4 linked regions of the Tamandua tetradactyla genome follow. The protein of the gene in region 1 interacts with the protein of each later gene in a pairwise test. Links are inferred from orthologs where the notes say so. Each region holds a gene or a part of one and is shown in the gene's direction. Other genes may lie near its edges.

The links.
Region 2: the proteins of MTUS2 (region 1) and HSF2 interact in binary tests that used the Homo sapiens proteins (3 or more experiments, as listed by UniProt). The two-hybrid records come from large-scale screens. The link is inferred for Tamandua tetradactyla from reciprocal best matches to the Homo sapiens genes MTUS2 and HSF2.
Region 3: the proteins of MTUS2 (region 1) and WAC interact in binary tests that used the Homo sapiens proteins (3 or more experiments, as listed by UniProt). The two-hybrid records come from large-scale screens. The link is inferred for Tamandua tetradactyla from reciprocal best matches to the Homo sapiens genes MTUS2 and WAC.
Region 4: the proteins of MTUS2 (region 1) and TSHZ3 interact in binary tests that used the Homo sapiens proteins (3 or more experiments, as listed by UniProt). The two-hybrid records come from large-scale screens. The link is inferred for Tamandua tetradactyla from reciprocal best matches to the Homo sapiens genes MTUS2 and TSHZ3.

Annotation. Positions count from the first base shown.
Region 1 is NC_135330.1:194,043,761-194,051,421, forward strand, and holds the start of MTUS2 (microtubule-associated tumor suppressor candidate 2), read left to right. Parts: upstream 1-4,609; 5' UTR 4,610-4,798; intron 4,799-7,661. UniProt on the Homo sapiens protein: Binds microtubules. Together with MAPRE1 may target the microtubule depolymerase KIF2C to the plus-end of microtubules. May regulate the dynamics of microtubules at their growing distal tip.
Region 2 is NC_135331.1:183,475,027-183,482,420, forward strand, and holds the start of HSF2 (heat shock factor protein 2), read left to right. Parts: upstream 1-4,335; 5' UTR 4,336-4,422; coding exon 4,423-4,515; intron 4,516-7,394. UniProt on the Homo sapiens protein: DNA-binding protein that specifically binds heat shock promoter elements (HSE) and activates transcription. In higher eukaryotes, HSF is unable to bind to the HSE unless the cells are heat shocked.
Region 3 is NC_135327.1:222,265,678-222,273,651, reverse strand, and holds the start of WAC (WW domain-containing adapter protein with coiled-coil), read left to right. Parts: upstream 1-4,974; 5' UTR 4,975-5,005; coding exon of another isoform or gene 5,006-5,016; 5' UTR 5,017-5,018; coding exon 5,019-5,059; intron 5,060-5,413; coding exon 5,414-5,451; intron 5,452-6,664; coding exon 6,665-6,877; intron 6,878-7,974. Other genes in the region: uncharacterized protein LOC143682789, read right to left, coding at 4,173-4,974, 5,006-5,016.
Region 4 is NC_135342.1:35,719,371-35,726,806, forward strand, and holds the start of TSHZ3 (teashirt homolog 3), read left to right. Parts: upstream 1-4,101; 5' UTR 4,102-4,170; coding exon 4,171-4,210; intron 4,211-7,436. UniProt on the Homo sapiens protein: Transcriptional regulator involved in developmental processes. Functions in association with APBB1, SET and HDAC factors as a transcriptional repressor, that inhibits the expression of CASP4.

The DNA of each region.
Region 1 (7,661 bases):
CTTTGGAGCTCCCTGTAAGATTGGCTGAAGCTCTGTTGGGCTGGCATCACAGTCCAGCTTCTCCCTGTGTCCAGTCCTTGTCCCTTTTCCTTCCCACAGGCACTGACCCTTAATAAATAGCCTGCTGTTGGGTAGACCAGTCTCCCGCCCAAGTGACTATCATGACTTGCAACCACCACTCCACTGGCTCTTCCTCAGTCCTCCTACTGGCATTGCAGCAGTTTGCAGTTGCATAAGGCAGATGCCTCTGCCCTCTCTCTGCGACCTTCGCCTGCTCCTTGGTCTGGTTAAGTCCCCCATAGCAGACTCTGTTGATGCTGTGCCCCCACCTCCTTGGCTGCCTTCCAGCTGCAGCTTTAATGAGCAAAACACTGGTTGCTGGGAGTCAAGTTGACAATGCTCTGCCTCGAGGAAGCTGCCAGGGTCATCCTTCTTTTCTGCCTCAAGGCTTTCTTTAAAGCCCTGGGTGCTCGGAAGCATAGGGGAGTAGACACCCCAAAGGTGATTCCCAACATGCTCATACCCCCATCCTAGAAATGACAGTTCTGGGAGGGCTTTTTTAAGTGTCTCAGAGACCCAGCGGTACTGAGTGTCTGCTGTGTACAGCAGGGACCTGTGTCCCACACTTTTTTTTTGGGGGCGGGGGCATGGGCAGACTCTGGGAATCGAACCCGGGTCTCTGGCATGGCAGCGAGAATTCTGCCATTGAGCCACCGCTGCACCGCCCTGTGTCCCACACCCTTATGTTGTTTTTTCCAAACTTCCTTCTCTTGATTTCTGTATTTCATTGTGGCTGCTTCTGGGATCACCTCCCGAAATAAACTCTGTCCCTGAGTCCTTCCATCAGGTTCTGCTCTGGGAAGGGAGACCCTAAACTAAAATGCCAGTTGATCACATTTTATTTTTTCATCAAAATACATTTCTACTCTTCTCTTCACAGTTTCTAGATGCAAACATACCCAGAGATTAAAGTGGGCTTTGTCTCGGAACAGCTGGAAACAAGAGGCGACTTTGCCAGCTGGACCTCTGAGAAGCAGAGGCCAGGAAGAATTTAGATGATCAAAACATGTACTGGAGAAAACACCTGGGAAGGACAGCAGGAAGGGAGAAGCAGCTTGGCTTGTAAGTGGGTAGGGCCATCAGACTGGCGAGGTCTGACACCTGAGAAAGGACAGGGGAAGGAAGGAAGATGGTGTAGGAAGCCGGTCAGGCAGTCCTGCAGTCCTGAGTGAAGCTGGTAGGGCTGTGAGGAGCTTTTGGGCAAGAGCTGCGGGTCAGAGTTCTGCACTGGGCACAAACGGGCCAGCTTTAGTCCTCCCCCCAGGCTCAGGTGTTGGCTGGGAACAGCTGGGGGGTGGAGGGGGCGCGTGACCCCCCCCACCACAGTGCCTTGGTGGGCCCGGAGGTGTGAGCCCTGGAGGCTGCTGGTTCATTACGTGCCTGTAGTTTGGGGAGCACACCTCCAGGGTGGCCACAGAGACAGCCATTTCCACATTTTAAATCGAGGTACTGCACCATCTTTGTGGGATTTGCTAAGTAAGGGTCTTGCCACCTTCAGCCCAAGTTTAAGAAAATGAGACAAGGTTCAAGGAGGTTGGATGTGGGAATTCGCTGGAAAGAGTCCAGAGTGTTGGGAAGAGGTGGGAGGACCCACCCAGTTCACGCAGACAGGGTTTATTGTACCTGAGCCAGTGATCCTGGGAATCAGCGGAGGTTAAGTGATTCCTTGCCATTTGTGTTCTGGAGAACAGCTTTCTGCAAAGAGCCCCCCGTCCCCCTATTACTCAGAAAAGACTCAGGGATGCCCCCCTGATTTACCTATGACAAACCAGATGCAGACCCTCCAAACTCCCGTCCTTTGCCTCCTAAATGTCGCCACTCCACTGGGCAATCAGGACAAAATGCTTATAACCAAACTGCTGAGGTGTCTCTCCTTCCTCCAGACCCTTAAACTTTCAGGGCACCTCCCAGTAAATAGGCTGCCCCGACATAAAATATTCTTGGAACACTCTCTGATCCCGTCACCCTTTCACCCCACCACCCTACACCCAGTTCTTTCCTTCCTATCAAAGAAAACCTCCTTTTCCCTCAGTCCTGAGATGCTTGCAGACCTCATGGTCGGGTGTTCTCCCTATTGCAATAGCCCTTCCCCCTTTAAAATCATCTTTCCAAATAGGGTCTCTCCTTACCAGGTCAGGATTTGATTTTTATTTGGCAGTGCAAAGAAAGGTGGGATTCTTGGGAACTAGCTGGAGAGTTTGGTAGGTATCTCCTGGAGTTCGGGGACATATATTAACCTTGACTCCTACGTGAAATGCTTCAAGGAGAGAGGCTGGTGGAGGCTGTCTGTGACCACAGAATGAGGAGAGGATCCTGCAGGAGCAGTGGTCTGCACCTCTAGAATTTGATAGGCAAAATTCCAGGGGATTTCTGCGGGCTGCAGCAGACATGGCGGGAGGGGGCTGGGTCTGAACCATTTCTGCCTCCCAGGACACAGAGCCCCCAGAAGGCCCTGTGAGGTGGACCACTAGACAGAGAAGCTGCGGTGGGACTCGGAGTAGTCAGCAGCAGGCTAGGAGGCAGGTGGGTTCCCACCCCCACCAGCCCACCTCCTGGAGGAGCGAGGCTGCCTGGAGCCGGGGTGGGGGTGGGGTAGAGGTAGAGCAAGGTTGGTCTTCCCCACAGCTGCCTTCAGAATGTGGGTCCTCTGGGTGCTGACAGGTGGTGGGAGGGGAGTGGGGAAGCTGCAGTTGGAGGAGATTGGAGTTTTGATTTGGATTGGACTGGACTTTTTAATACCAGAGAACCAAACTCGCTATTCACAGCTGAAATGACAGATAAAGCTATGAAATCTGCCCTAGATTCTTCCAGAGAAGCAGGGAGATCCGATAGAATGAACTTAAAACACAGCAGTGTGGGGGCAAAATCAAATGGTATTTCGAGATTTCCCTTCACCAAGTCCAGCTTGTTCAAAAAAATTAGCCGATATAAGATACTGTTTAACAGAGTAGTTTGAGAAAAAGATCCCCATTAAAAGACACAGAAACCTAAATAGTGCAAGAAACTAGCACCATCATTTCATTTTTGTAATAACAACTCTTTAGTACATTGTCATTTCACCTAACATTTTTGAACCCTAGCATTTTTAAACAGCTCAGCTGTTCTCTGGTCTCACTTGCCCTGTCAAGTCTTTCAGGAGCCCTGCTTAGGGGAGAGGAAGGTGGGACCCCAAGGTCTTCGGAAAATATTAACTGATGGATTTATTCATACGATCTGTCAAGGCTGACGGATCCCTCTCTCAGTGTTAGGCACACTTGGTGCTTATTCAACACAGAAATAAAGACCTGATTCTATAAAGCAACATTTGCCTTTTAGGCAAACAGTTTCAAGACCGACTTTGGGCTCCATCTGAGAGTTCTTCCCGATGCGTCGCCCAATTCTTCTCGCTGTACATAATTCCAAGAACGCCAGTCCTGGAAGTCGCTGCCCTGTTGCCCTGTTAGCCAGCTTTTCAGTCATTTTAAACCCATTTTAGCCATTTAAAGTGTACTTTGGTGGTGGTAATTACAAATGCTGTGGCACCATCAACACCATCCATTACCAAGAATTTTGTACGCCCTCAAGCACTGCTACCCAGAAAGCATTAAGTCCCTTCCTTCCTCCCTCACCCCCATCTACTTTCTGTCTCTATGTATTTGTTTATTAAAGATATTTCATAGAAACGGAATCACACATTTGTCTTTTTGTGCCTGGCTTATTTCACTCAACATGGTGTCTTCCAGCTCATCCCCGTTGTCCCCCGTCTCAGCACTTCATTCCTTTGGACGGCTGAGTGGTATTCCCCAGCGGGCACACACCTTCCGTTTGTCCATCTGCGGGTGGACATTTGGGTTGCTGCCACCTTTTGCCTTGGGTGAACCGACGTGCTGTGACCTCGGCGTAAGGTATCTGTCCCAGTGTCCCCCCTCCCCTCGGTCTCACTCCTCCTTCCCCTCGGGTCTCCCGAAGCCGGGGTCTGGCGGGGGCTGAGCGGGGCCGCGCCCACGGGCCCCCCGCGAGCGGGAGCCGGCGGTGTCGCGGGTGCGGGCGCTGGCGGCCGGCAGAGGGCGCTCGGCTCTCCCCTCGGCGGCGGCGCGGGGCGCGGGGCGCGGGGTGCGGGCGGGCAGGCGCGCGCCGCGGGGCGGCCGGAGGCGCCGGGGGCTCGGCGGTGCGTGGGGGCGGCCGGGAGGGGGTGCGCGCGCCTCCGCCCGCCCGCGCGCGGCTGTCAGCGGGGACCGCACGTCGCGAGCCGGGAGGGGCGCGCCGGGGCTCGGGCTCCGCCGCCGCCGGCCCCGCGGCTCGTCTTTGTCCGGCGGCCGCGGCCGCGCCGTGGAGCTCCCGGGCGTGCGGCCGGCGGCCCCGCTGCCCTCCCCCGCGGACCCCCAGCGCCGAGCGGGGGCGGCGGCCCGGGCGGGGCCTGCGCCGAGGTGAGTGCGGGGGCGGGGGCTGCGGGGCGCTCCCGGCGCAGCCCGGGCGGGGCGGGCGGAGGTGACAGTCTCGCGGCCGCGCTCTCCAGGTGCCGTGGCGTCCCCCGCGCCGCCACCTGCGCCGCCCCGCGGGTCTCTCTGCCAAGTTTGTCGATCCCCCGGGGCTGAAATCCTTGGCGGAGCCGCGGAGCGCAGACCTCGGGGTCGCTGGAAAACTCGAGCTGGGGAGGAGGAGGAGGAGGAGGAAGCGCCCTGGAGCCTGGCCCGGGGTGAGAGGGTGCTCGCGGGCAGCGGCGGCCGCTCGGACCTTCCCCGGGCTCTTTCCCACGCAGGTGAGCGAACCCGGGGCACGCTCGGCAGGGGGCCGTCTGGGCGCTGCAGCTGCCCCGGAAGCCCCGCGAGACAGGTGGCCGGAGTGCGGGGCAGCGCCGCACTGGTTTGGCTTTTCGGTCCCGAGGGCACTTTCTCTCCCCTGCCCAGGTCACCTGCTCGGGCCGGGGTGTCGCAGCCTTTCGGGCACCTTCGCGTGCCGCCAGGTTAGACATCCCTGCTGTAGAGGGGAGGGGAGGTTCGTGAAACCGAGTGCCACCTTCCCCCAGCCTTGGAAAATCGGGGCTGTGAATTCGTCTTATTTTAGTATGAAATGTGCTATTTCCTGCGAGCTTTATAATGGCAAGCTCTGTAAAGGACCAAGCGGCTTGCTACCTCCATTTTTCATTCTGAGCCTGTGCACAGAAGGAATTTCAGGCACACAAGTGATGTTACTACCAGTCTATTTTAAATACAAACACGGAAAGAAGTGCTCTTGGCAGGAGACCAAAGGCGCCTGTACTCTGTTATATAAGTGCTTTCAAAAAAATATTTGCTCGGTGGTTAAGTTATAAAAGTCATTCCCAGAGCGTGGAATAAGAGAGGGTGAGAATAAGTCAGAATCATGGTTTCTGCTTTAAACCAAAACTTTACTGGAAGATAAGCGTGCACTTAGCTGGAAGACACCCTTTTAAGATAACATGGGCCCTTTCTAATAAATCATTGGGTAGAATTGCAAAGCATTAAAAAGCAAAATAGGTTTTGTAAATGCTGTTATGAAATTTGGTTAGGAGTCTTTACTACTGATAGTGATAAGAGGGATCCTACAGCTGTCCTTTATGGGTTTCAGACTTCTGAAAGATTTTGTTTTGATCTCTGATGAAAACTTAGTAATTGGGAGTTACCAGTTATAGAGACCTTCCTCCCTCCACCTCCTCAGCAAAGCCTCTAACTCTTATTTTTGGCTACTTTTTTTTTTGGGTAAGAGGAAGCCCAAAGTAGAAATCATCATATATAGCCATGTCTGGGCCCCTTCTTTCTGATAGTCTGTTCTGATTGCTTTTTGGTGGTGCCTGGGCATCTGTGATGTTAAAAGCTTGCCTGTGCTTCTCCGGGCAGCCTGTGTTGAGAGCTACGGAGAATATTATTTCATTTATCACTTTGTCAGCCAAGGCGTGGCTGCCCTGGTTTAAGAAAAGTCAGACATAAGCAGTCCAAAATACGGCGAGAGAAAAGTATTGGAAAAGAGATATGCTGATGAATTATAGCATGTGCACTTTCGTATTTTGTCTAAATAATCTTTCTTAAATTTTTTTTTTTAAACACTGCAAAGAATAGTTTTTATCAGGGACCCAGACTTCCCTGGGGATTACTTACCGGAATCCTGAGCGGAACATTTCATTGTGCAGGGGTAACAGGGAATGTTGAGTAGTAGTGTCAAGATGTTCTTTTATGCTTACGTGATGAAATATTCAGGGCTTATTAAAGACGATTTTCTCTAGCAAATTTAAAGCCTTATGTTCATATAGACCAATAAATTAAGTCACAAAGAGCTTTCATTGTTTTTAAGACCAGAAGTAAAGCTGGCTGCTAAGTCAGTGTTTTCTGTCTACTTCATGTATAATGTCCGAATCTGGGAGCATATCTTATAGATGGCTTCTGGTTGAAATATCTATCTGATTTTGAAGGCTTATGTAAGAACTGCGACTGTGTTTTGGCTATTACATAACTGACACAGAGCTAGATCGCTAGTCAAAAGAGGGGAAGGGTGCACAGCCCAGGCCAGCCCATGCAGTTGTATAATGAATTGCTGCTGCCAAATTAAAGGGAACAGCGGCGATGGTGGTTTGTGAACGAGAGATAAGAATAGTATCCAGAGGACTGATGCAATAGAAAACTGTTATGCTTAGTGGTTTTCTAGAGATTTTAGTGCTGCAGTAAAAACTGCTGTCGTCCTTTCTGTCTTCCAGCAGAGGTGGATTGAGTGGGAAGCTGATGAAGCTTAAGCTTTGGGGCCCCTCACCTAGAATTCCTCCTGCGAGGAGCACCAGCAACGTGTCCACGTGGCCAAACCTAATTCTGTAGGTGCACTTTTGCATTCTGTTTAAAGAAGGACTATACCACACCTCTTCCCTAGTATGTAAACCTCAGGCTCCACAAATCTTGAGTCTCCATTTCTTGCCAATGTTAAGCTCACCCATAAAGTTGCCTTTCCTTATTTTAACTTTTGTAGCCTTGTGAAAAGACAGTTAAAGAGGTATTGCAGTTGACCAGGTGAGGAAATGCAGATTGCTGTGTCCCGGGGCTGGGGGGTGGCAGGGAGTCAGTGGTTATGTGGGGAACCGGCCCTCCGCCTTGCTGTCTCAGGAACGGCACTTTTCCTGGATCTGAGTGTGAGCTGAAGCTTAGAAAAACCCGGATGGGAGCAGGGTGGGGAGAAAGTGGGTTAAAGCACTTGCATATCTCAAGGTGGGCTGCCAAGGAAGGGGACACCTCTTTAATAGGAGTTGATAGGAACAGCTAATGTCAGCTCCACAGAAGATCTTTTTGGGATCTGTCTCTGATAGGAATTTTAAACTGTGAGTGAACAAACTCAGACCTGGAGAAGAACCTGCAGGAAACCAGTGCAGGTTGGGAAGGACTGGACGAGTCGTCTGGTTGTCCCCATTAGCAGATGTGGTGAGTAAATAGGAGCCTCACTGTGTCCACCACAGGAATGTCTGCAGAAAAGGGTTGAGGATTTTCCCTTTATCTCTGACACGATTTCAACGTTCACACCTGAATTCAGGTATCTTCAGACCTTAATATCTTGACCCCTCCCGCACCAACCCATTTGCCTCATCCCTCCATCCACCCATCCGTTTATCATCCGTCCATCTGCCCATC
Region 2 (7,394 bases), on another chromosome or scaffold:
GCTAAGAAAAGAAAAGTGAACCTTTTATTCACTCTGCTGGTCTAGTAAGGGTTGCTGAAAAGTAAATAAGCAAGAGAAGTGTGGTCAAATTCCACAAGCTATGATAGCATATGGGAGGAATAACGAATCTAGCTTAGGAAGACTAAAGGAATGTTTAGCACATACCTGGCTGGATGATGGTGCCTAGTTCTGTTCATATATTCATTGATTAATTCAATAAGTTGTACCAGGCTGTCTGATAGCCATTATAGATAAGTAGATAGAAATAAACATAAATATGACATAGTCTTTACGTTAAAGTTTCATACTTTAGTATAAGAAAATACATGTAAACAAATCATTACAATAAGATGTGGTAAGTGCTGTAATAAAGGTCACCTGGGAAGATTTTCCAAAAGAGGTGACCTCTGCATAGACTGTACTTGAGGTGGTTAAGGAGAAACTTGAGGTGGAAGTGGGTAGGGATAAGGCTCTCCAGCTAGAAGCAACAGCTTGTAGAAGTACACAGAAGTGTAAAAGAGCCTGGTCATCAAGCAATTGGGTGTGGCTAACTGTGAGGTGTTTGTAATGAATGGTAGGCCTTGACTGGGATAGTAGGTGGGGCAAAGATAACAGAAAACCTTTTATGCCATGCTAAGGGGGTTGGGTTTGTTCTGAAAATTACGGGAAACCACTGAAAGGTTTTAAGTCTGCAAGTGACCTTTTCAGACTTATAGAAAAATATCTGTAGAGATTGTGAGGGTGAAGCGGAGAAAGAAGCTATTTATTTGATCCTGACAACCATCCTGTGAAGTAATTACAGCAGATATTTTAATTAACATTTTATATATAAGGGACTAGGGCTCAGAGATGCTAAGTGGCTTGCCTAAATTCTTCTAGGTCATTCCAGAATTGAGGAAAGAGAACACTATGTCCAGATAGGAATGTAGGCGGAAAGTTCTATGAGTTTACCATTAGTTCAATCATCCCAGCCTTGAAAATAATCTTAAAAAACTGATTCTAGTTGCACTACTGATTCTAAATTTGACATAACTGATTGGATGGAATTTATAGCAATCTGAATCAGCTGCTTTAAAGCATCACCTTGCTCCATAATATGTTTTTCTATTTCTTGGGCAAAGGCCTAGGTCACTTGTGTTTTCTAACATTATTTTAAATTTTCTAAATCTTAAACTCCATGCAAATGACCCATGGAAATAGTCCAATATTTTTCTTTGGAGTTAATAGAAGATAACTCACTTTAAGAAACTGATACTTTTACCCTCTAATATTTTAAACATTTCAAAACTGTCGGCACTGCCTCAGATCTGTTTCTTCTGATATTTGTGGAACATTTTAGGTGACAAATATTTGTGAAATAAAAAGGTTGACTTGTTTTTCTTACCCTTTCAGTTTTACAAATAAGAAAAAGCCAATAAATTATTTTCTTTTCCCCAAACATGTCTCTAGTAAATAAAGTTTTCAGAACATGTTATTAATTAGAATAAAAGTTAAGAATTAAGTACACAGAAAAATGAAACAGTAGGTGGTTACAATTATTCCTGGAATGTCTAGATTTTGTTAAGAGGTAACAAGTCTGTACATGCTAGCAAGAAAAGGTCAGTTAACTAATTTTGTCTCTGTAATAGCGGTTCTTATAGGTATCCCAGGAGCTAGCAGCACTTACATTACCTAGGAACTTGTTAAAAACGCAAATTATTTTTAATTTTCTGTACTGAAAAATTTAATTTTCTGTATGGAAAAATTTAATATTCTGTACTGAATCAGAAACTTGGAGGTAAGAGGGAGGCCTAAAGGTGATCCTCATGTAGGATAAAATTTGAGACTCACTGGTGTAAAGGAAAAAAGCGTATGATTTAAACTAAGAAAGATATGGTTTCAGTTCCTACCTAAGCTCTTTTAGTTTGCTTATGCTACCAGAATGCAATATATCAGAAATGGGTTGGCTTTTATAAAGGGGATTTATTAAGTCTACAGTCCTAAGGCCATAAAAATGTTCAAACTAAGGCATCCAGAGAAAGATACATTGACTCAAGAAAGGCCAATGGGGTCTGGAACACCTCTGCTAGCTGGGAAGGCACGTGGCTGGCCGTTGCTGGTCCTTTGACTTCTGGTTTCAAACAGCTTCCCTGGGGACATTTTCTTTCTGCATCTCCAAATGTCTCTGTCTATGTCAGCTCTGAGCTCTCTCCAAAATGTTCCTCTCTTAAAAGGACTCCAATAAACTAAACAAGGCCCACCTTGAATGGGTGAGGTCACATCTCTAATCAAAAGGTCACACCCATATTTGGGTGTGTCACAACTCTATGGGGACAACTTAATCAAAAGGTTACACTCCACAGTATTGAATCAGGATTAGAAGAACAAGGCTTTTCTGGGGTTACATCACTTTCAAACTAGCACATCAACCATGTGGTTTTGAACATGTCGTTTAATTTCCCAGAGCCATGGCTTCCTTATCTGGTTAATAACTTATGCTCTTAGTTAGTCTTATGAGTATTAAAAAACTACCTGTGTCACTTGTTAATTTATTTATTGGCCATCTGCCATCTCCAAACAATCCAGATGCATGCTTAAGAGAATCACTGGTCTAGAGGATATCACAATTTTGCAGGGCCAAGTGTGAAGTGAAAATGCAGGGACCCTTGTTCAAAAATTGAGAATTTCTAGGTGGTGATAAAAGCACTAAACCAAGTGCAGGGTGCTACTACACATGGAGCTCTATATGACTGCACAGATCGAGGAGATCTACAACATACAATCTTGTACGTACATCTCGTAGTACAATTTTGTACTACAAAAGCGGAACGAGTGATTTCTGCCTGCATCAACCCACAACTTTTCTTTAGATGGAATTTAATAGATAAAGCCATACAAGTAGGCTAAAAGCAGCTCTAACCACCCACCCAGATTACCAATCTAGCCATTGCCCACCATAGATAGACCATGCTCAAAATGCCTTACAGGCAAATTAATTCACTTTGGAGCCAGAATGTTCACTGGAAAAAATGGATAGTAAGATCTAGCTTATTGGGTTACTGTGAGGATGAAATGAAATAATATATGTAAAGCCCTGGCATATATAGGCACTTATGAAATATTAGTTCTTACATTCCCCTCTCCTTGACACACATGATTTTTGCTTCAGAAAACAGACCAGTGCTGAATACAAAGGCAATATTCAATAAATAATTAGTGGTTGATGGAAAAATTCATCAGAAGATGTACAAATTTTATTTTTAACACATTTACATGTACCCAGAAAGTAAAACAATCCTTTGTTGAATATTTTACAAAATGTTAACTATCATCCCTGACTGGTTTGTAAATTCTTATATTTCCATGCTGACTTTTTAAAGTATAATTTGGTAGAATACTTGGTATTTTCAAAGCATTTCACATCTATTAGGCTATTAAAGTCACTAATAAGGTTGAAAGAACAAATATTCTTATTCCCAATGAAGAGATGGGGTAGACTGGGCCAGATAGATTAAGAGACTGCTCTGAATTACACACCAGGGTAATTTAGTATACACAAAGCTGGGTCTGACATTCAGATCTGCAGACTTCTTGTTCAACATCTTTCCATTAAACCAAACTACCTCAAACAAGCAAAAGTATACCTGTAATATATATACAGGAACTTTTTTTTTTAATTGACTACAATAGTATGAATGAGGCTATTTCTTTCCACGCCGAGCTACAGTGAGCTCTGGAAGTTTGCTGAATGGAAAAAATACAAGATGCTTATGACAGCTCCTGGCTCATAATAATAGCTGCTTAGCAATGAATGAGTTTTTTTTTTTAAATAAACATTTTAAAGGAGCCACTTCCTCCCAATGAAAAATTAAGGACGAGGACAAGGTTCATTATTTTTAGGACTGTTTCCATTTGGGGCCTAGCACATCATGCTGAAACTACTGCCTCCCGTGGTGCAAACCACACTTTGCCTGCCAAACTTATGACTCAAAGGCCCTTTAGGGAGTTTTCACAGGATCGCAGCCACAGCCCGGGAACCCAAAGCTGTCCCCACGAGAGGCAACCAACCAGCCCCCTAAACCTGAGGTCCGCTACGCGAAGCGCTCCTTATAAAAGGCGAACGAGCAGGCAGCGCCCCCTTCTGCTCCCACCCCTTTACGTCTGCGACACCCAATCGCTTTACGGTGTCGCCGCGATCGGCTCCTGGGATTGGCCAGGAACCGGACTGGCGGGGGACCGATATACGCGGGTCCAGCGCTGAGACTTGTCCGTCACGTGTGGCAGCCGGGCCTCCCCGCGCGCCTGCCGCGGCCGGCAGTGGGTGGGGGAGGGGGCGGGGCCCGCGCGCCGCTGCGCCTGCGTGGTGGGCGTTCTCGGCGAGCAGCTGCCGCTGCCGCCGCCGCGTTCGGGGCTAGAATTCGGAATCCCTGCGCCTCGTTAACAATGAAGCAGAGTTCGAACGTGCCGGCTTTCCTCAGCAAGCTGTGGACTCTCGTAGAGGAGGCCCACACCAACGAGTTCATCACCTGGAGCCAGGTACGGGCCGGGGCACGGCGGCCTCGGGGACCCCTGAACGGCCGCCTCCTCTCTTCTCCCTCACCTCGGGTTTGTCTCCCGCGGCCTGCGGCCCGACGCGCTCTGCGAGGCCTGGGGCGGCGCGGCGCCTGGGCGTTCGCCCGCGAGGGGGACCCCTGGCATTGTTCGCGCGGGGTGCCGCGGAGGCAGGGCCGGGCTCCGCCGCCTCAGGCCGCGGTGGGGGAGGGGCGGCCCGCGCGGGGCCCGGTAACGGTCCGGCCGGGGGCGCGTTCGGAACCGGCGCGGGAGGCGGCGGCCGGGAGCGCAGGAGCACGTTCCTGCCCACGCACCCTGCGTGCGCCCGCGTGGCTCGCCGAGAGCCCGGGGTCGCCCGCGCGGGGCTCTGTCGGGGGGGATCTTCGCCTCGGCACCTGATTCTCCTCGCAGAAGCGCGCACGGCGCTTTACGCCCGGCGTCTGCGGAAAGGAGGCAAATGTTCAAACCGAGGTTACTGCGTTCCAGTAGGTTTTTGAAATATTACGTTGAAAGTGAAAAATGATTCTTTGAGGACTCTCGGCCTTTTGTACAGCTTTTTAATGATTGTTTTAATAGAAGTGTGACTAGACGGGTGATTCAGTAACTTAGGAGCTAAAATGAATCACCAAATTTCACTCCACTTTACGAGCTGAGTGATACATGAATGTCTTGATTACTGATTTGATCCCAGCTCTGCCACTGAACAAGGATGACCGGAGTCGAGCCCCCAGGCCTGCCTCTTATCAGGATGAGTGGGTTGCCTAGGAGAGATGGAAAGCCCCTTCCAGTTCCAAATACTGAGATTCTAAGAGTGGGTAGATATTTACATCAACCGTGCATTTACGTTAGGATCCACTCCTAGGCTGTTGGGATCAGTTTGTACTGGGAAGTAGATTTCTCCTATTGTGAATAATCAGTTTGGGATATTTTCCTGTGTCGAGTTCTGGAGAAAAGTAAGTGAAAAACTACCTGCACAGTGCCTGGCACTTGTTATGCTGAGTCAATGTTATATCCCTTCCTCCCTTTTCCCCCCATCAGGAAACACAATATTTAGTACATGTAGTTTGGGATACTGTAGCACCACGTTTTGCCTTGTATTTCTGTCATTTGTCCATTTTTTATCTCACTCCTAGGATTTAATTTTCTTGAGGTCAGTATGGTCACCTGGGTCATCATTTTAGCCCCGGGGGACCTAACGTTATATCCTATGTTCTGTTCTTAAACATTTGATGAATTCTGTACAATTCTACAAAGAAAGATGGAAGTAAGGAAGCCAGGAGCCAGCATGTACTTAAAAATAAGCAGATGTCTCATGCTTCTCATCAGTCAGAAGGATTAAAAGTTGACAAGAATGGATCAGCACAGGCTGCTGTTATTCAACCATGTGTTCATGATAGAGATTGGACTGAGATTCTCCACCACACTCCACCCTCCCCCAACTAACTTGATCATACCGTTTTGGTTTGTATAAGCCTTATTTTTGCTGCCTAGAAATGTTTCCCAAATGCGTTGGTTTTATTTAAAGGATATTATGTCAGTGGCAGGTCTAATATATTCTCATTAACCAAAATATCTTGATAGTATTCTTATTTTATGGAAAATGTCAAATGTGGAGAGTTTCATACTAATTCATAAATACATCATTTATGAATAAACAGTCACGTAAAATCATTCTTGTTTGTCCTGTTACTAAGTCTAAACTTAGCTTTAACTATGCATTTTCTAATACACCAATGGGATAATTAAAATTTGAACTCCATGAGGGAAGGAACGGTGTCTATCCCCGTGATAAAATAGGTGCTTAGTAAATGTTTGATGCATGGATGAAATCCCCATAGTAGATGTAATGGAAGTGGTAAGAATGATAAAGATAGAATTATCCCTGAAAAGAATCTAAGAGATCATCTTGTTTAGCATTATCCTTAACGTAGATGAGGATTTGAGGCTTTTTACAGTGTTTCGATTACTTATCCATTACACAGCCAACCAAGATTGGAGGTAAGACTCTAACATAGATGTCCTAGCTTCCAAATAGGCTTTCCATCAGCAGCACTACACGTAATGCCTGTTGGTAGGATATCTAGGTTTATACCAAAATGTTGTTCCTCCACTTTCACAAGTCTGTGGACAACTCTGGATAAATCCTATCTAGGACTAAACTAGTTACTTAGGGCTGCGATCTCTCACTGTTGCTCTTGGATGCGTTTTTCTAAAACCCATGTTAACACTGAAAGGTAAAATTTGAATTAAATAGTGATGTTAGATGGAAGAACAAATTAAGCTGCTCCCATTTTTTAGAAGTTGCTATTTATGGTTGCTTCTGGATTTCTTCAGACTCGTTTTGCTAAACTTACTGTTGAGGTAATTTAACATTTATACTATCTAAGAGAAAATATATTAAGTTTTTTTTAGACGCAGCAGATGTTTTGGAAACCAGGCAATCAATCGTCTATGTAAATTTTTTCTAGTCATGAAAAATAATTTACTTGTCTAGCTTGAGTGCAAGTCAAGGGGAGTAAACTACTAACTGAAGTTTTGAAAGCTTAGCTTAGTATTTCTGAAAACTTTAAGATAACTTTAGTTTTCCTTGAAACATATAATGGGACAGAATTGAAAAGTGAATTTCTCATCATTAAATGTAGAAATATATCCTGAGCAACCAAAATTATTATACTACATGTTTTGACCCTAAAATAATAGAAACATCTATATATTCAGAATGCCTTTAAGAAAACATATACTGTGCATATTTCACTCATTCCCATAGTCTTCCCATGGAAGTTGCTTTTTTTTTTTTCCTTTTTTCTTTTGGGACATTTTCTATAGCTTCAAAATTTTACATAGCTATTTTTGGCTCTGATTAG
Region 3 (7,974 bases), on another chromosome or scaffold:
CTAATACTTTTTCTGCTCACACACCACCCTTTAATCACACTGTTTTTTGAACACAACTCTCTTGGTACCCATACCGGTTCTTCCCTTGTCACTTTCAAGTTTTTGTGCAAATGTTTCCTGTTCAATGACCATGCTATTTGAAATATTTCTCCTCAATCCAACATTCCTATCACTTTCTGCTATCCTCCATTGCAATTACTACTTTCTAAGTACATTGGCACTTTACCAGTTATTTTATTGCATTTCTTTCCCACCAGAATATAAGCTTCAAGAGGGAAAGAACTATATCTTGTATTAATCACTGATGCATCCCTAATAGATAGAGACAGTGCCTAGAACATACAGCAAGTACTTAATAGATATCTGTTGAGTAGACTGAAGGATGAGGTAGGCAGGGCTGCATATTTGGAAGCAGGAAGAAATTTCCATTTGATAGGTTTAGTCTGGAAGGTCGTGAGATTATCTGCTGAATGAGGGTGGGCGTAGTGAGGTTGGAAAAGAAAATGTGAAAAACCTTTTGGAGTGGGTGAAAATTAGGTAAAGAATGTAAGACTGCCTATATCTTCTGAGGATCCATATGATTTTGACTATCATGGGTTTTTATTGGATATGGCGGTATCCTGGAGGTTCTCCTGTCCTTTCCTAAATAGTTATTTGTTGCAGTTGTCCTATTTTTCCTCCTTAATTGAATGAACTCGTATTTGGCTTATGATAGGAGGGAAGCATATCTCGATCACACATCTAGAATATAAGCTATATTCCTCTCGGCAGGGATAATAATGTGAATTATGTAGTAACAGATCCTGTAGGCATCATTTTTTGTATCATTAATTGGCAATAGAGGTAAATTCTGTATCTCCCAAACAGTATATAATTTTAAGTCTCCTCAGATAATAGACACTAGGCACAGCCAAGATTGGAAGCTACAACCTAAACCCTTTGCCTTTCTCTGGCGACACATGAAGCTTTCATTCTAGTGGAAGGGAGAAAACCAGTATGCAAAATATGTAACAAATTAGACAGTAAATGCTGCTAGAAAAATACAGCAGGGTTTGGGAGATGGTGATGGAATGCCATTTACATAGTTACCAGGAAAGACCTCTGATAAGGTGAGATTAGAAGAGAGACACGGAGTGAGCCAAGCAGGTACAAAAGGGAGGAGTATAACAGGCAAAGAGGCAGTACTGTAGAAATCCTGAGGCAGAGGCATGTTTGGTATGGAGTAACAAGAAGGACAGAGTTGACAGAGGCAGAATAAGCAAGTTACTGGAGGTAATGCCAGTGGAAGCAATATACACAGGGCCTTGCAGGTAATTGCAAAAAACTCTGGCCTTTATTCTGAGTGAGATGAGAAACAATTGGTGGGTTTTAAGGCAGAAATGATACGTGACTTAACGAGCCCACTCTGACTGCCCTGGGAGAAAACAGAAGCAAGGGAAGAAGGACGAGCTCATTTAAGAGACCACTGCTATAGGTTCAGGTAAAAAACGATGGTGGCTTGTGAAAAGAGATCAGATTCTGGATATATTCTGGAGGTGATGCTGTCAGGCTTTGCTAATGGAGTCTATGTGAAGTACGAAAGAATCAAGGATGACAAAATATTTTAGCCTCAACTGGAAGAATGGATCTGACAGGTCTTGAGATTGGAAAAACTTGAGCAGAACTTGTTTTGGGGAAGAATTAAAGAGTGTGGTTCTGCAGATATGAAGTGGAGATGCCCACTGGGCAATCAACTAGAATAGACAGGTAGGTATTTAAAAGATCTGGGCTAGAGACTCAAACATGGGTCCCATCCAGTTACAGATGATGGGACTGCCTAGGGAGAGAGTACAGGGAAGAGAGGCAGATCATATTGTGGAAGTTTAACCCTAGGGGAGGGTTAGACAAGGACTCTAAGGAACAGCCAGTAGGAAAGAAAAGAAATTAGAATAGTAGTACCCTGGCAGCTAAGTATGGAGTTTCAGGAAGGAGGGAGTTAATCTATCAGCTCTGTCAATCACTGCTAAGTGAGATGAAGGCTGAAAAATGAAAATTGGATTTGAGAACATGGAAGGTATTGATTATCTTGAGTAAATGGCATGTAAGAATGAAGTCTGACTGTTGTGGATACAGAACAATGTAATATTGGAAGTAGAAATGAAGTTTCTTTGTAAAGGAGAGCAGAGAAATGGCACAGTATCTGGAAAAAGATACAGGCTGAGCTTTTGTTTGAGGATGGTAAGTACGACAGCATGTTTTAAGTTGATAGAAGTGATCCATTTGAGAAAAAAATTGATAAAGAATGAAATGGAAGTCGATACAAAGCGGAAGTTTGGTTTTAGATAGAAACTTAGTTTATCTATCATTTTTGAGGGTGACAGTGCAGTACTACATATGGATTCAAATGGAGTAAGGCTGATAGATACGATGGTTAAAGCAGGTGGAAGTTTTTATTGCTTTGATTCCTTCTGTTCTCAGAAAAATGCAAAATAATTAGTTAGCTACCAGTGACACCATTGAGGAATGACACTGGCAGTCTTAGATGTGAAACAGTTAGAAAGAAGAATAAAGTGAATGGATTAGGGAAATGTAGCCTGAAGGCTGAGGAGCATGAAGAGATTTACTTCAGAGTCAGTTTAGCTGTGTGTTTTTGTCCAGTTCAACTGCTCTCCTAGATATGTAGTAATTAACTAGGACTGTGGTATAGACACGTAAGGTAGAGGAAGAGGGGTGAAAGGAGTAGGGAATATCTGCAAGGAAGGATTCATAAGAAAAGATAATGGACTCTAAGTTGAGCAATGGGATGAGCTTTTAAAAAAATGGGCGTAACAGTGAGGAACACGTTTTCCCCATAGCTCAGACCAGTGCTCTTGTTCATATAGCATTATCAGCAAAAGACATTTGACTATCATAAAATAAATCACGTTTGTATTCTAATCTGATGTCCCCTGCCCTCGATGTATTTGTTTCAAAAGTGTACAAAAGACTTTACTATTGAACTGATTTTGTTTTTTTTTTAATCGAGGACTGGTAGCTATTTCAGTCACGGGCAGCTTTTGTCTTAATTACTCAGTTTATGTGAGCATTAAGTAGACTTTCTCCAGTTCTTAAACAGCAACAACTTCAACATTTGGTAGATGGATTTAATAAGGCTATATAATTATTTTTTTCAATCAGTTGAGAGTTCAGGGTCATTTTCTCCATCATCCATCTCATTAGGCCCAACGATAATTTAAGCTGTTAGCAACCAATTCAGTTAGTTTTTGATATGTTTTTTTTTGAGGAATGTCTCTTGTTTCCCAGTTTGCTTTGTTTTCCTATATACTATAAATAATGGTTGTATTTTTACTTTATGTTTATTACAATCCTTCATGTTAAATCAATGCTGCATGATCGCCTAACAAGAAGTTAACAGGAAAAAAAAATCACCTAAATGGCACCGCCCTCAAGTACATTTTGTTGTTTTGGCGTATCTGTTCGACACTCCCCGCTCCCCACTTACCAATGTTGCTATTATGCCTATAATGACACACAAAAATCTGTTACATTTTTAATTAGCACGGAATTTACAAATGCATTTTAATTCGCCAAAGAACTTATCGAGGAAGAGACATTAGAAAAGAGTAAAATGGGAAACAAAGAAAGGAGAGAGTGAGGGGAGGGCACAGCCAATTTCCCAGGCCCGAGATGGAAAATATCTTTTAAAATGACGTGGCTCAACGCTTTTTCCAAACAGCCCTTCCCCGAATCTCAGTTTAATCCAATTTCTTAATTAACTGCCCAAAGTGGTTCTCCCTCCTCGATCCAGGAATCCCCACCGTACAGCCGCGCAGACACACAGCCTTCTCACAATCTGTTCAATACCCATAAACTCTTTCACTTTTGCCAGTTCTCACTTAGAAAGCTTTCTTTCCTTTATGCTTCTGGGTGTGTGACTTACTTCTCAAATGCCGACGAGCGTGGTAGTAAAAGCCCCAGGCCCGGCGCGGGTCTTGCGCTCCGCGTCCGGCGTGAGCCAGGCGCCCAGGCCTCGTTTCTATAGAGGCCTCGCTTCCCTAAGAGCCGCTTCCCAGGGCTGCAAACAAAGAAAGCTGCTGGTAACCGCCCTCCACTCGCCTCACCGAGGGGTCTTCGACCACCCCACACCCCGAACCCGGAGGGAAGAGGCTGGCGGCCCGAGGGCTCGCCCAAGGTCACCCGCCATTCCCCGCGCCCGCCGCGGGGCGCAGGCGCGCCGCAACGGCCTCCCTCAGTCTGCGTTGGCTTCCGCCGCGCCCCGCCGCCCTCCTCTCTAAGGCGGCTCGCTGACTGCACATCCCGGAGCCCCTACAAACGGCCTCTAGCAAGTCCCTCAGCAAGATCAGCCCCGAGCAGGGACGCTGGCACCGACGTCCGCGCGAACGAAAGGAACAGCAAACGGAAGGAGCCCGTCGGGTCCGAGCAGGCGAGCCAGGCCCGGCAGGAAGAGGAAGACCGAAGTGAGCCGAGGTTTGCCGAAGGCGGTATTCGGAGCCGCGCGAGGAGGGGCGGGAGGAGAGGGCGGGAGAGGAGGAGCGAGGCGGAAACTGCCGATGCTTGCCGAAGGTGGCCTCGTCCGAGTTGCCCGGATGTAGTTGGTGGAGCGGCAGCGGCGGCACCAGCGGCGGTGGCGGCGGGAGGAGGAGGAGGAGGAGGAGGAGGAGGAGGCGGAGAGGGACCAGGCGGCGGCGGCGGCGGCGGGGGGAGGAGGAGAGGAGGCGGCGGAGCAGGAGGAGGGGAAGGCGGAGCAGGCACTCGCTCTCCGCGGGGCTGAGCCGGACGCGTCTGGGTGCCCCCCTCCCCCCGTTTCGCCGCTGCCGCCGTGTAGTTGGCGCCGCCGGCCGGGCCGAGAGTGAGCGTGGTGGCGGAGGGAGATGGCCCGGGAGCGCCGGCTCCAGTAACGGGGAGGTGCTGAGACTCGCCGAGGGCGCGCCGGGCCCTGGTGCCGGCGCCCCGCCGCCCGCCCGCCTCTCGCGGCTGCTGTCCCCCCTCCCCGCCACACACTCACAGGCCGGGCATTGATGGTAATGTATGCGAGGAAACAGCAGAGACTCAGTGATGGGTAAATTGTCTTTTCGTTTCGGGCCGGGCGGCGGGGGGCGGCGGCGGCGCGGGGGGGCTGTTCCTCCTTATCGGGAGCTGGCCGAGCCGCCATTTTTGTTGTTAACCCTGTTCCGGCTCGGGCTGGAGGAGGCGCGGCGGCGGGAGCGGGGGCCGGGCGCGTGTGCGGGAGCTGCCTGGAGGGCTGCGGCCAGCTCGCGTCGCCTCCTCGGGGCGGGCGGGAGCGTGCGAGTGTGCGGGGCTGCCCGCTGGGCCCGCCTGGTAGGTCGCCCGCGGGGAGGGGCGGCCGGGGCCCGCGTTTTCCCGTCCTCCCCCCTCAATGTCTCATGTCGCCGCCTCTCTTCCTGTTTTTCAGCTGTCACGACCGGAGGGGGGACTCGCAGCCTTTCCAGGTACCAGCCGAGGCCGGGGTGGAGGGGTTGGAGGGGGAGGGGGAGGGACTGCTACTCGAGCGCAGGCTTCAGAAGTCGCTACAGGCCTTTCAGTGCTGCAAATCCGAAACTAGCACCGCGGGGCCCTCATAAAATGTTGTGTTTGGTTCCGGGAGCGCTCTCCAACGAGGCCTAGTGACTTATTTTGACAGGTGACTGGAGAAAGTTCACTTTTATTAGAAAACATTAGCAGCCAGGAAGACCCGACTTGATGCTTCGGGTGTGAAGGAATCGATGCTGTAAGCTGTGAGGCATGTTCATCTGTTGTATTGGGGAACTAGAAGTTGATGAGAAGGAATAGAATTCGATCAAGGGCCTGGGACGAGAGAGCCAGTTGATACTCAACTCAGAATTCTGCTGTGAACTATTTCTCCGCATTTGACTTCTTTTGAGTGCACGTAATTGTCTTACATGTGAAAGATAGTTTTTGTTACTGTAAAAATTAAGATCCTTGGATGCTTGTATAATTCACTCTAATATGTGGTTCATGGTATGTAAATTCTTTTTTGTTACTGCAGTTGTTACTGGTAAAGTTTTAAAAATTTATGTTAGGTGTGCCTGAGGTTTCCGGAGTGGGGGGGACATCTGGTAAATGGTTGACAACTATCAGATGACACTAGAAGTTGTGTAAGTGGTTTCTAAGTCTAATCACTTGGAGAAACAGTTCTGTTACTGGATATCAAGACTTGTTAAAGCTCAAGTTAAAAACACTTGTATTTACAAAATGGAGTGAATTTTTTTCTTTTTTTTTATTTGATATTATGGTTTATATCAGGAGCCTTTTATATGAAGATACGCAGTTGTAGAGCAGAAGTTAATTACAGTATTACTGAGTTTCTAGTTTTCTTTGGATTAAGTTTGCAAAAAAGGATTTCAAACATTAACTCCCAGAAAAATTTATTAAGGAATGTATGTGCCAAGGTGTTTGGTTTCTTGTATTTACAAAATGGAGTGAATTTTTTTCTTTTTCTTTTTTTCATTTGATATTATGGTTTATATCAGGAGCCTTATAATAACTTGTCAGCATTTGGGACTTGCCTCACTAACTTAAGGGCAGAATTCAAAATGGGAATTTTAATTTTGTTACATAAACTCATAAAGCTCAGTACACCAAGTTTTAGAGTTTAATCAATTTAGAGAGTTTGAAGTTTCAATTCTTTCTCTTTCTTTTTGGGGGGGTGATGTTTTACAGGCACTTAAGTATTCATCGAAGAGTCACCCCAGTAGTGGTGATCACAGACATGAAAAGATGCGAGACGCCGCAGATCCTTCACCACCAAATAAAATGTTGCGGAGATCTGATAGTCCTGAAAACAAATACAGTGACAGCACAGGTCACAGTAAGGCCAAAAACGTGCATACTCACAGAGTTAGAGAGAGGGATGGTGGTGAGTAGTTTTCCTGTTGAAACTTTCACATATATTTATTATTTAACGTAGTGCTATGCAAAATAATTGGCACCATTAGTATTTCAAGCTTGAGGATGTTACCATGTAATTTTGTCATCAAGGGATTTTATGTCTGTCATGTTATTTGATTCATAAACAGTCCCTGTGTAAAAATAGGATGCTGACCTGAATGTGTAAAATTTAGAACACTGATAAGAATATATTTATGAATATAATCTACCAAATGTTTTATTAAATGATGGGAGAAATACAGAACATTTTTCCCGGAAAGAAACTTTTACTTTTTAAAGGGTTAAAATCTGTTTGATAATTATACATGATAAATTATGAATTCGGAAATTCAGTAAGTTTTCAAGACAGTTCAAAGGTTTACTGAGATTTCTGAGAGTTTGAAAATCCCATTTAAATTTTTGTTGTGAACGTTTAAAATGCTTTCCATGTTCTCCAGGAACTTGTTAACTTTTATTTTCTGTTCATTCATATACTCAGCTTTTTAAAAAGTGAGCTTCCTTTTCGCTTTCTGCTGCCTTTCAGTTATCTCAAGCACTTTGCAGTGGGAGGCTGAGAATGAGTAAATGAAAGCAATTCTTGGTAACTATTTTCAGGCTTAATTTGCCCAAAGTTTACCAAAATACCAGGTTTCATGTCTAAAGCATGCCTTGAGGAAAAATCCAGGTTTTACAAAAGTAATTAAGAAATCTTTCTTTTCCCCACTCATACTGTTTAACAGATGAAATGGTGGAGATAAATAAATAGCATAGCTTGCGCTTTTTTAAGTTTCTCAGAAAATTCAGTGGAGTACCATGTGACGTGTTTCTCCCTTGATTGGCAACTAACTCAATACTGAGCTTACTTTAAAAAAAAAAAAAAAACAGCCTTATTCACTGATCAGCTGAGCAACACTGGCTTCCTCAACTTAAAATTACTGAAAGGAAATTAAGGATGGTCAGAAGATTGCATTAGGAGGGAGTAATTTAGATGACTATTGGTTGAAAGGAAAGTGTAGTTTCTTCTCAGAATGTAGCTGTCTTTGTATTACTTATGCAGATAAGCCATATTTTTGTTGGAAACCATAG
Region 4 (7,436 bases), on another chromosome or scaffold:
GGAGTTTACTCTTCAGTGTGACTCACACGGGATAAAAAGTCACCCGGTCCCTGCGAGGGGGACGCGGTTTGTTGGTGCTTTTCAAAAGCTATCTGGAACTCTTCAGAGTGGAGTAAGAGATTTCTACACAGTGCGTCTTCTACAGAATTCTAGCTCCGCCGCCGGGTGCGGGCTTCTTCGCTCTGTAGTCTAGAATGAAGACCGTTCGGCCGCCGGCTGCGTTGGGCGAAGCCTGCACCCTAGAGCGCGCGGTGCTCTTCTTCCCGCAGGAAGGCGCCCAGCCAGCGGCTCCGCGGCAGTCTCTGGCCTCCTCTGGCACCGCGCAGACCTCCGCGCTCAGCCAGAAAGCGCTTGTGGATTCCTTTCTAACTCGTGTAGTGCGTAAGGAATAGCCGCGCGGGCTCTGACCCTCCCGTGTAGTCGATCCTGAGGTACAGAACACATCAGGCACCCGGACAGAAATATTTACATGAGGAATAAAGTCAGGGAAAATGCTGGTACCGGCGGCCCGCAGATGTCCGAGGTGCAGGCCCCTAGGGCGCCCTTGCCGGGCCTCCTGATGTACTTGGAGAAGGACAAGCAAAGCCCTTCGGGCCAGTGGATTGATCAGAAACATATGTGCATATGTTTACCCAAGGGACAGGTAGGGCAAGGGGCGGTAAGGTAAGGCAAGGAGCACAAGCAGAAGGATCACTACTCTCAAGAGTCTGAGCGCCCGGAACTCCCGGTTAGTCTCTGGTTCCCTAAAGATACCTCCCCGTCCGGTCTCCTTCAGTAAATAACATGTGAATTGCAGACTTGCTGCCACCAGGACCCAATTTCTCCCTAAGTGGAGACCCTGGTCCTCACTGGAAATCAGGCAGAGAAGTCCGCGTCTTCCTTCCCCTACTGCTCCTCCCCATCAGGTCATGTCACCAGCTGCCAGACCGGGCCTGGCAAAGTTTGAGTGCGAGCCCTGCCTAGCGACCTCGACAACACCAGCCGCGGCCAAGCTGAAATGCTTTTAAGCCCCCGCATTCAGGCAGTTTTTGGATCTACACTGTCCGTGGTGTGGATTTTAGATGTCTCCCTTCCTGCGGAAGGAGAGCAGAAGGAACCTGGTGGAATAGGTCTATGCCCTTCCCTCCATCTGTCTCATTCCTAAAATGGCCTTCAAAATGATTCACGTTTGGGGCCCGGATATTAAAGAGCATGCGTGTGACTAAAAGAACACTGTAGAGATCAAGGTTCCAGGTTGTGCCAACGGGTGGGCACCCTGTTTGTGTGTCTGGGCAAGGCGGCATGGTCGTGGTGTGCGCTCCGCATAGACCGTGTTGTGCGTGACAGGACTATCGCCGCGACACTGATGGATGCGCCAATGGTTGGACGGACAGATGTTAGGGAGGATAGCACGGCGCTGGGCGCCGGAGCTGGGGAGGGCGAGGCAGCGATCCGGCGGGGGCGACGGACTCGGGGACCAGGGCTCAGGCCGCGACCGGCAGGGGAGGGGGGCGGAGGAAACAGGGGTTGGGAGAGCAGTGAGGAGACGGAAAGGAGGAGGGAGAGCGCGAGCCTGGGCGAAAGCCCCAGGCTTCCATAAGCGGCGCCCAGCGCTTAGGCACGAGCCGCAAAGCGGCGCGCCGAGGTGGGCGCTGGGCACATCCAGGGCCGGCCAGGGGTGGTCGGGAGCTGACCCCGCGCGGCATCCTCTCTCCTCCGGGGAAAGCCGCTAGGCGCGACAAGAGCGCGGCCACCCGAACGGCGAGGCGGCTGGCGGCGTCTGCCCACTCACCGTTTCCTCGCTCGCAAGAAGCGTTTCACGCCCCTACGGCCGCTAGTCTCCCGGCCTGGAGCGGCCGCCGCTCTGACTCTGCGGCCGCAGATATCAAGCGCGCGAAGTGCCCCCAAACCCAAGGCCGACCCCGGGCCTGCCCTGGAACGCGATCGCAGCCTGCCACCCGTTCCCCGCCCAGCTGGGAGTCCGCCGCCTGCAGCTCTGAGCGCTCCTGCGCGCGAAGGCGCGGAGGCCGGCCTTATAGGTTGGAGGCCCGCGGCCGCCCATCCGCAGCCAGGGAGGCGCCTGCCCGGAGCCCAGGCCCGCGGGCTGCTGGCGAGCGGAGACTTTTTATCTTACCGTCAGGGCGGGATCATGGTCGCCTTCTCTAAAAGAAAAGAAAGCATGCCCGTGAACTTTTAAAACAAACTTGCCAAAACAGCCAAAAAGCAAAAAAGAAAGAGGAAAAAGGGCAGAAGAAGAAGGGGTAGGAGGCTGAAAAGGGAGGACACATAAGAAAAGAAAAAACCGAAAGAAAGGAAGGAAGAAGGCTGGGGTCAGCGGCACCAGGAGCGCTCGGGCAGTCAGTCCCGGGGCGAGCCGCACTGGTCCTCGCTGGGACTGTCGGCCGTGGGGCCCATGGAAGGGCCAGGGGCCCCGCCAGCGCGCCCGGGCGCAGGGCCACCTCGGGGATGGTGGGCCAAGCGGCAGCCCCCGTGCTCCCGCCACCGCCGGCGCCACCGCCGCCCGGCAGCGCCCCGAGCCGGCCCCGCCGCGGCCGCCCCAATTCCCGGCCCGAGAACTGGCCCAGGGAGACGCAATCGAGCCCGCAGCGCATCGATGCGCCGCCGCCGGCGCAACTCCGGCTAGGGCTCCGGCTCCACCGCGGCGGCCCGGGGGTCGCCCCCTTAAGCTCTGGCCCACCCGCGCCCTCGCCACCGCCCGTGAGTGAGCCCGCGTGACCCCGCGGCCAAGTCGGCCCCGCCAGCTCCTCCTCCTTGCGGACCGCCGGCCCGGCGCCTCGGCGACCCCAATTACCTAATCAATAATCAATGCCCCTCGCCCCTCACTGGCACCTGGCCGGGCGCAGGGGCACCGCTCGGCAGACCCTTCTCGGGTGGTCTGAGCGGGGTTCTGGGCCTGGGGTCCAGAGTTCTCTCCCCGCCCCGTCCCGCCCCCGCATCTTCCTGCGTCCGGGTGTGTGTGTGTTGTGGGGGGGAGATGCAGCCCCGCGACTGGGGACGAGGGGCGGGGTGAAGCCACCGCGATCTGCCCAAAGTCAGGAGAGGAAACTTGGAGGCACCCCTCCCACACAAACCCCCGGGACCGGCCCGGGAAAGTTTGCCCGGGAAAGAAATCGGGGAAGTGGCTGCGGCGGGTCCTGGGGGAGGAGCCGGGGTGGCGCTAGCGGGGTCTGGGAGCAGCCCCCACCATCTCCGGCCGGCGCCCGCCACCCGTCGCCCCGCCCGCCTAAGGGCCCAGGCCTGCCCGGGTGGCGCGAAGGGTGGAGAGGAGTGCAGGACAGGCGGGGCAACCCCGGGCGGCCCCGGGGCGAGGCCGGGTGGGGCCCGGGGCGGGCGGGGGTCGCGAGAGCTCTAGAACTGGCTTGGCGGTCCCAGCACCGCGCCCCTGTGTGCGCACACGGGGCGGGTCGGAGGGGCGGAACCCCTTCCCGGGACTGGGCGAGGGTCCTGGGCGGGCCAGGGGCTGCGAACGGGGGCGCGGCGCCCCGCGGGCGGGCGAGTGACACGATCATCTCCTTTTCCTTTAAGCTTGCCTGTTGCCGCCGCCGCCGCTCCAGCCGCGCCGCGGGCAGAAGACTGGACCGCTGAGCCCCGGGCCGCGGCGGCGACTGCGCGCCCCCCGATGCCGTGACCCCCTGGTCGGGGCAGGGGGCCAGGGCCGGGCCGGCCGGGGCCGCTCCCGCGCTCCTCCTCCCTCCCCTCTGCCCGCCTGTTCTCCCTCTCCCCACCCCCCAGCCCCGAACCCCGCGCACCTCGTCTGGAGACGGGGCGGGGGGGGGGGCAGGGCCGCACTCCTCCCCGCCCCCTCCTCCTCCGGCCTCGGGAGCGATTTGTCAAACTTCCCATTCCGCCAGCAGCGCGGTCCTCCTCCTCCTCCTCCACCCCCTCCTCCCTCGCCTCTCCTCCCCCGCGCTCCTCCCTCCCGCGCCTCCCTCGCCCGCCCTCCTTCCCTCCGCACGTTCGGGGCTCGCGGCGGAGCGCGGAGAGGGGGGGACGCGGATTGCCGGGGCGCAGCAGCATCCTGCGGGCGGCCCCTCTCCGGGGGGGAGCCTGAAAGCCGGCCCGCCTCGCCCCCCCCCCCCCGCGGGCCCGCCGCCCCTCCCTCCCTCTGCTCAGCCCGGCAGCGGCGGCAGCGGCGGCGGCGGCGGCAGTGGCAGTCGCCGGAGGAGCATCATGCCGAGGAGGAAGCAGCAGGCGCCCCGGCGCGCAGCAGGTACGAGCCGCTTCCCCTTCCTCCTCTCTTCCTCCTCCTCTTCCTCTCCTCGCCCCGCGCCTCCAGCCGGCGGCGACCCGGCTTCTCGCCCGGCTCTTGGTCCCTCTCCCTCTGCAGGCGCAGAGTAACTCCGGGGCGCCGGGCTCGCTCGCTCGCCGCTCTGCTCTTGGGTGCGTGCGCCGGGCTCGGGTACCCGGCGGCCCCCTGACGCCCCGCTAAGCTCTGTCCTCTTCCCTCTCTCACCTACTTCAGGAAACCGCGCTCAGGGCGATCTGAGCCGGCTTGGCTCCCTGCCTCCTCAGCGCTCAGGCTGCGGAGCGGATGGAAAGGAGCCCCCGTCCGTCTCTTTCTGTGGGGGGCGGGCGGGGTCACCTGAGTTCCCTGGGACACCTTCCGTGTCCTCCCCTGGCCGGCCGGCGGGGGATCACCGGGTGCCTGCCGAGCGAGAGCTTAGCGAGCCGGTCCTTTCGCCACCTTTACTGATAATCCAATTGATTCTTCATTTATTGGGCCCAAGCAGGGCACAGCGGTGGAAACCAAAGCGCAGAGAGCCTGGGCATTTTCATATGATTTTGTCCAGTCAGTGTTAGATGCCGGCGTCCCCTTCACCCGTTTGTTTACCCTTACCTCCATCCTCTCTTTCCACCCTCTGCTGCATCTCCCACCCTCCCACCCAAAGCACTTAGTTCTGGGACGTGTGAGTACTTTTTTTCTCTCTCTCTTTTGCCAGGAGTGTCAACTCCTGTTAAGACTGAGATGATTTTTTTTTTCTTTTCTATTCTGTAAAAAAGCATTATTGAAAACAAAACAAAACCCACACACAACATTATTTTGCAATAATGTCGGTTGGGGGCATGTTGCCTGGAAGAAGGGTTTCTGGCCCGTTGCCACCCTTGATTTGATGACTGATTGATCGCCCGTCATGCTTCTGCCTTTGATCTATTCATTCCCAATAAACATCAATAAATCACTGGCACTAGTGAGGCCAAGCTCTGTGACGTCACAAGGGCCCTGTCAGTGCAACTTCGGGGATTTGGGGCAGATTGCCGAGAGGACCACATATGGACGTGATGTATTTTGATATGAATAACACTCAGCTGTGCAGAGGTTACGATGCTGCATGAACTGGAGGGTTAAGCAGACGTTCCTTTCTTTTCTCTTTTCTTCTTTTGGTGGAAGAGGAGAGGCTGGAGGGAGGGATCAGAGCTTTGGCTGGTGCCTTTCTGGGGTGAAGGTGGCACCACTATGCCTTGAGGGTGCTTGTAGTGGCAGTGATGGTGATGGTGATGGTGATGGTAATCTCCGTACATTGGCTGCACTTTGGGCTATAGTTTCCTTAAACAGGGCCATGGGAAAGGGAATGACATTCTTTCTCCTTTCAGAAATGTATTTTCCTTTCTGTGTCTTTAGGAAATCATGTAAGAAGACAGACTTGGTGTGGGATATGTCATGCAGGTTTTGCTCTCTGTCCTCAGTTTTGCCCAAATTTAGAAAAGTCTGAAAATCCCAGTAGTGATCATACAGAGAATACCGCCTCCCACCTCACCTCCTGGCTGATGCTCCTTGCCTGACCCACCTTCTACTTTAAATTCCAAGCTCAAGCAGTAGACTTAACTGCACAAATTAAACTCTGAAAGTTTGGAGGAATCCTTTGCAAAGTTGGGCAGTAGGAGGGTCTTGGGCCTCTTCCAGTCTTTGAGATTTTTCTTTCCTTTTTGGATATACATTTTAAGGTATCTGTGTGCCTCAATCAAGTGAGCCATATGTGATCACATCTTTGCATTTGGTTTAGAACTCTCTCTGTGGTACGTCTTCCACCCTGCCAACACGAAACTCTGATAAGTTTCTGCTAAAAATATTAAGAGAAGGAAGAAACATACTGTTGGTTTTGTTTTTTAAAGCAACCTGTTCAGTAACCTTTCTGCACCTTCGAAAAAGCCAGCCAGGAAATCTCAGGTCAGTTAAGAAATGTTCATTATATAAAAACTTGACTGCACAACTAATAGGAGATGGAAGAATGGTTTTGCTCTATCAAAATGACCCGTCAAAACGACTTTGTTTCATATTTGATTTAATTGTCTCTCTCCTGACAGGCACATTCATCAATAGCTTAATGGTCAATCAGAAGTTGGCAGCGTGAGTGCTTTCTTTCTTTCCCATACCCTGGTTTTGGATTTACTTTATCAGAATGCCTCTGCCTAATGGATGTGTGGAGGAGGGGTAGAAGATGACTGAAGGGCTACTTATTTAAGAAGAGTGGAGGGGGGAAAAACCCTCCACATTTAGGCTGGGGATAAGTATGCACAGGCCAATAAGTGAGCTGAGTTTTTTTGTTTGGACAGACAAGAAACTTCCCATTTTTTTCCTCCTTTTTTAGTTCACACAGCTGCAAGTTATAAGGTTCATGCCTGCTTTTGTGGCATACTGGGAGTGATGACAAATTGATTGCTTTGTACTGATAGACAGAGAGAGTGGGAAAAAGAAAGATGTCTGCTGATTGGTGACTGGAAACCCAGTCCCCAGCAACCTTGAGAATACTGGAGAATTTTTTTTTTCCCCTCCAAACTGAAAGGTCCGCTCAGCCATAAAAAAAGAAAAGTTGTTTTGCCAGCTTCATTAGTGTTCACCTAATTAGCTGTAAACCTGATGGATTCCTGACAGCTTTAATGATTGGAGATGACAAGCTCCACGCAGTGTCATCCAGCAGAATTAGGTTTGCAGCTAGTTTGATGTAATCAAGTTGATATTACACAGTCCTGGCTGCCTTTAGTTGTGCATTAACTCAATTTTCTGCTGCAGGTGACAAATGGGCTTTGGTACCTGGATAATCATGTCATAGGAATTAGGGCCCTTTTAATGGTTTGGGGTAGAATAACAACCACAAAGGACTGAGCGCTGGGTAAATCTTGCAGACATAGCACACAGGTGCACACAGTCTTTATAGCTAGGCCAAATGTAACACTGCTCTCCCGAAGGCCAGAGCAGGCTCCAAGAATTCCTGAAAACAGGTACTTCTATATTTTAGGATTTTTCTTTTTTTGAGGATGGATGGAAATTACGCATGGCTTAATATCTTTTTTCAAAGAAGGAGAGAGACAGAGGTTTCTTCACCTGCCAAAGACAAACGTTGAATGAGAGTTCCTTCCTCCAGGCATATGATTTCAAAGGGCTGTGCATTTGTGCTGGACAGATTCGGCTGCCCCTAGAAGCTCAGGAGTGGGGGTGA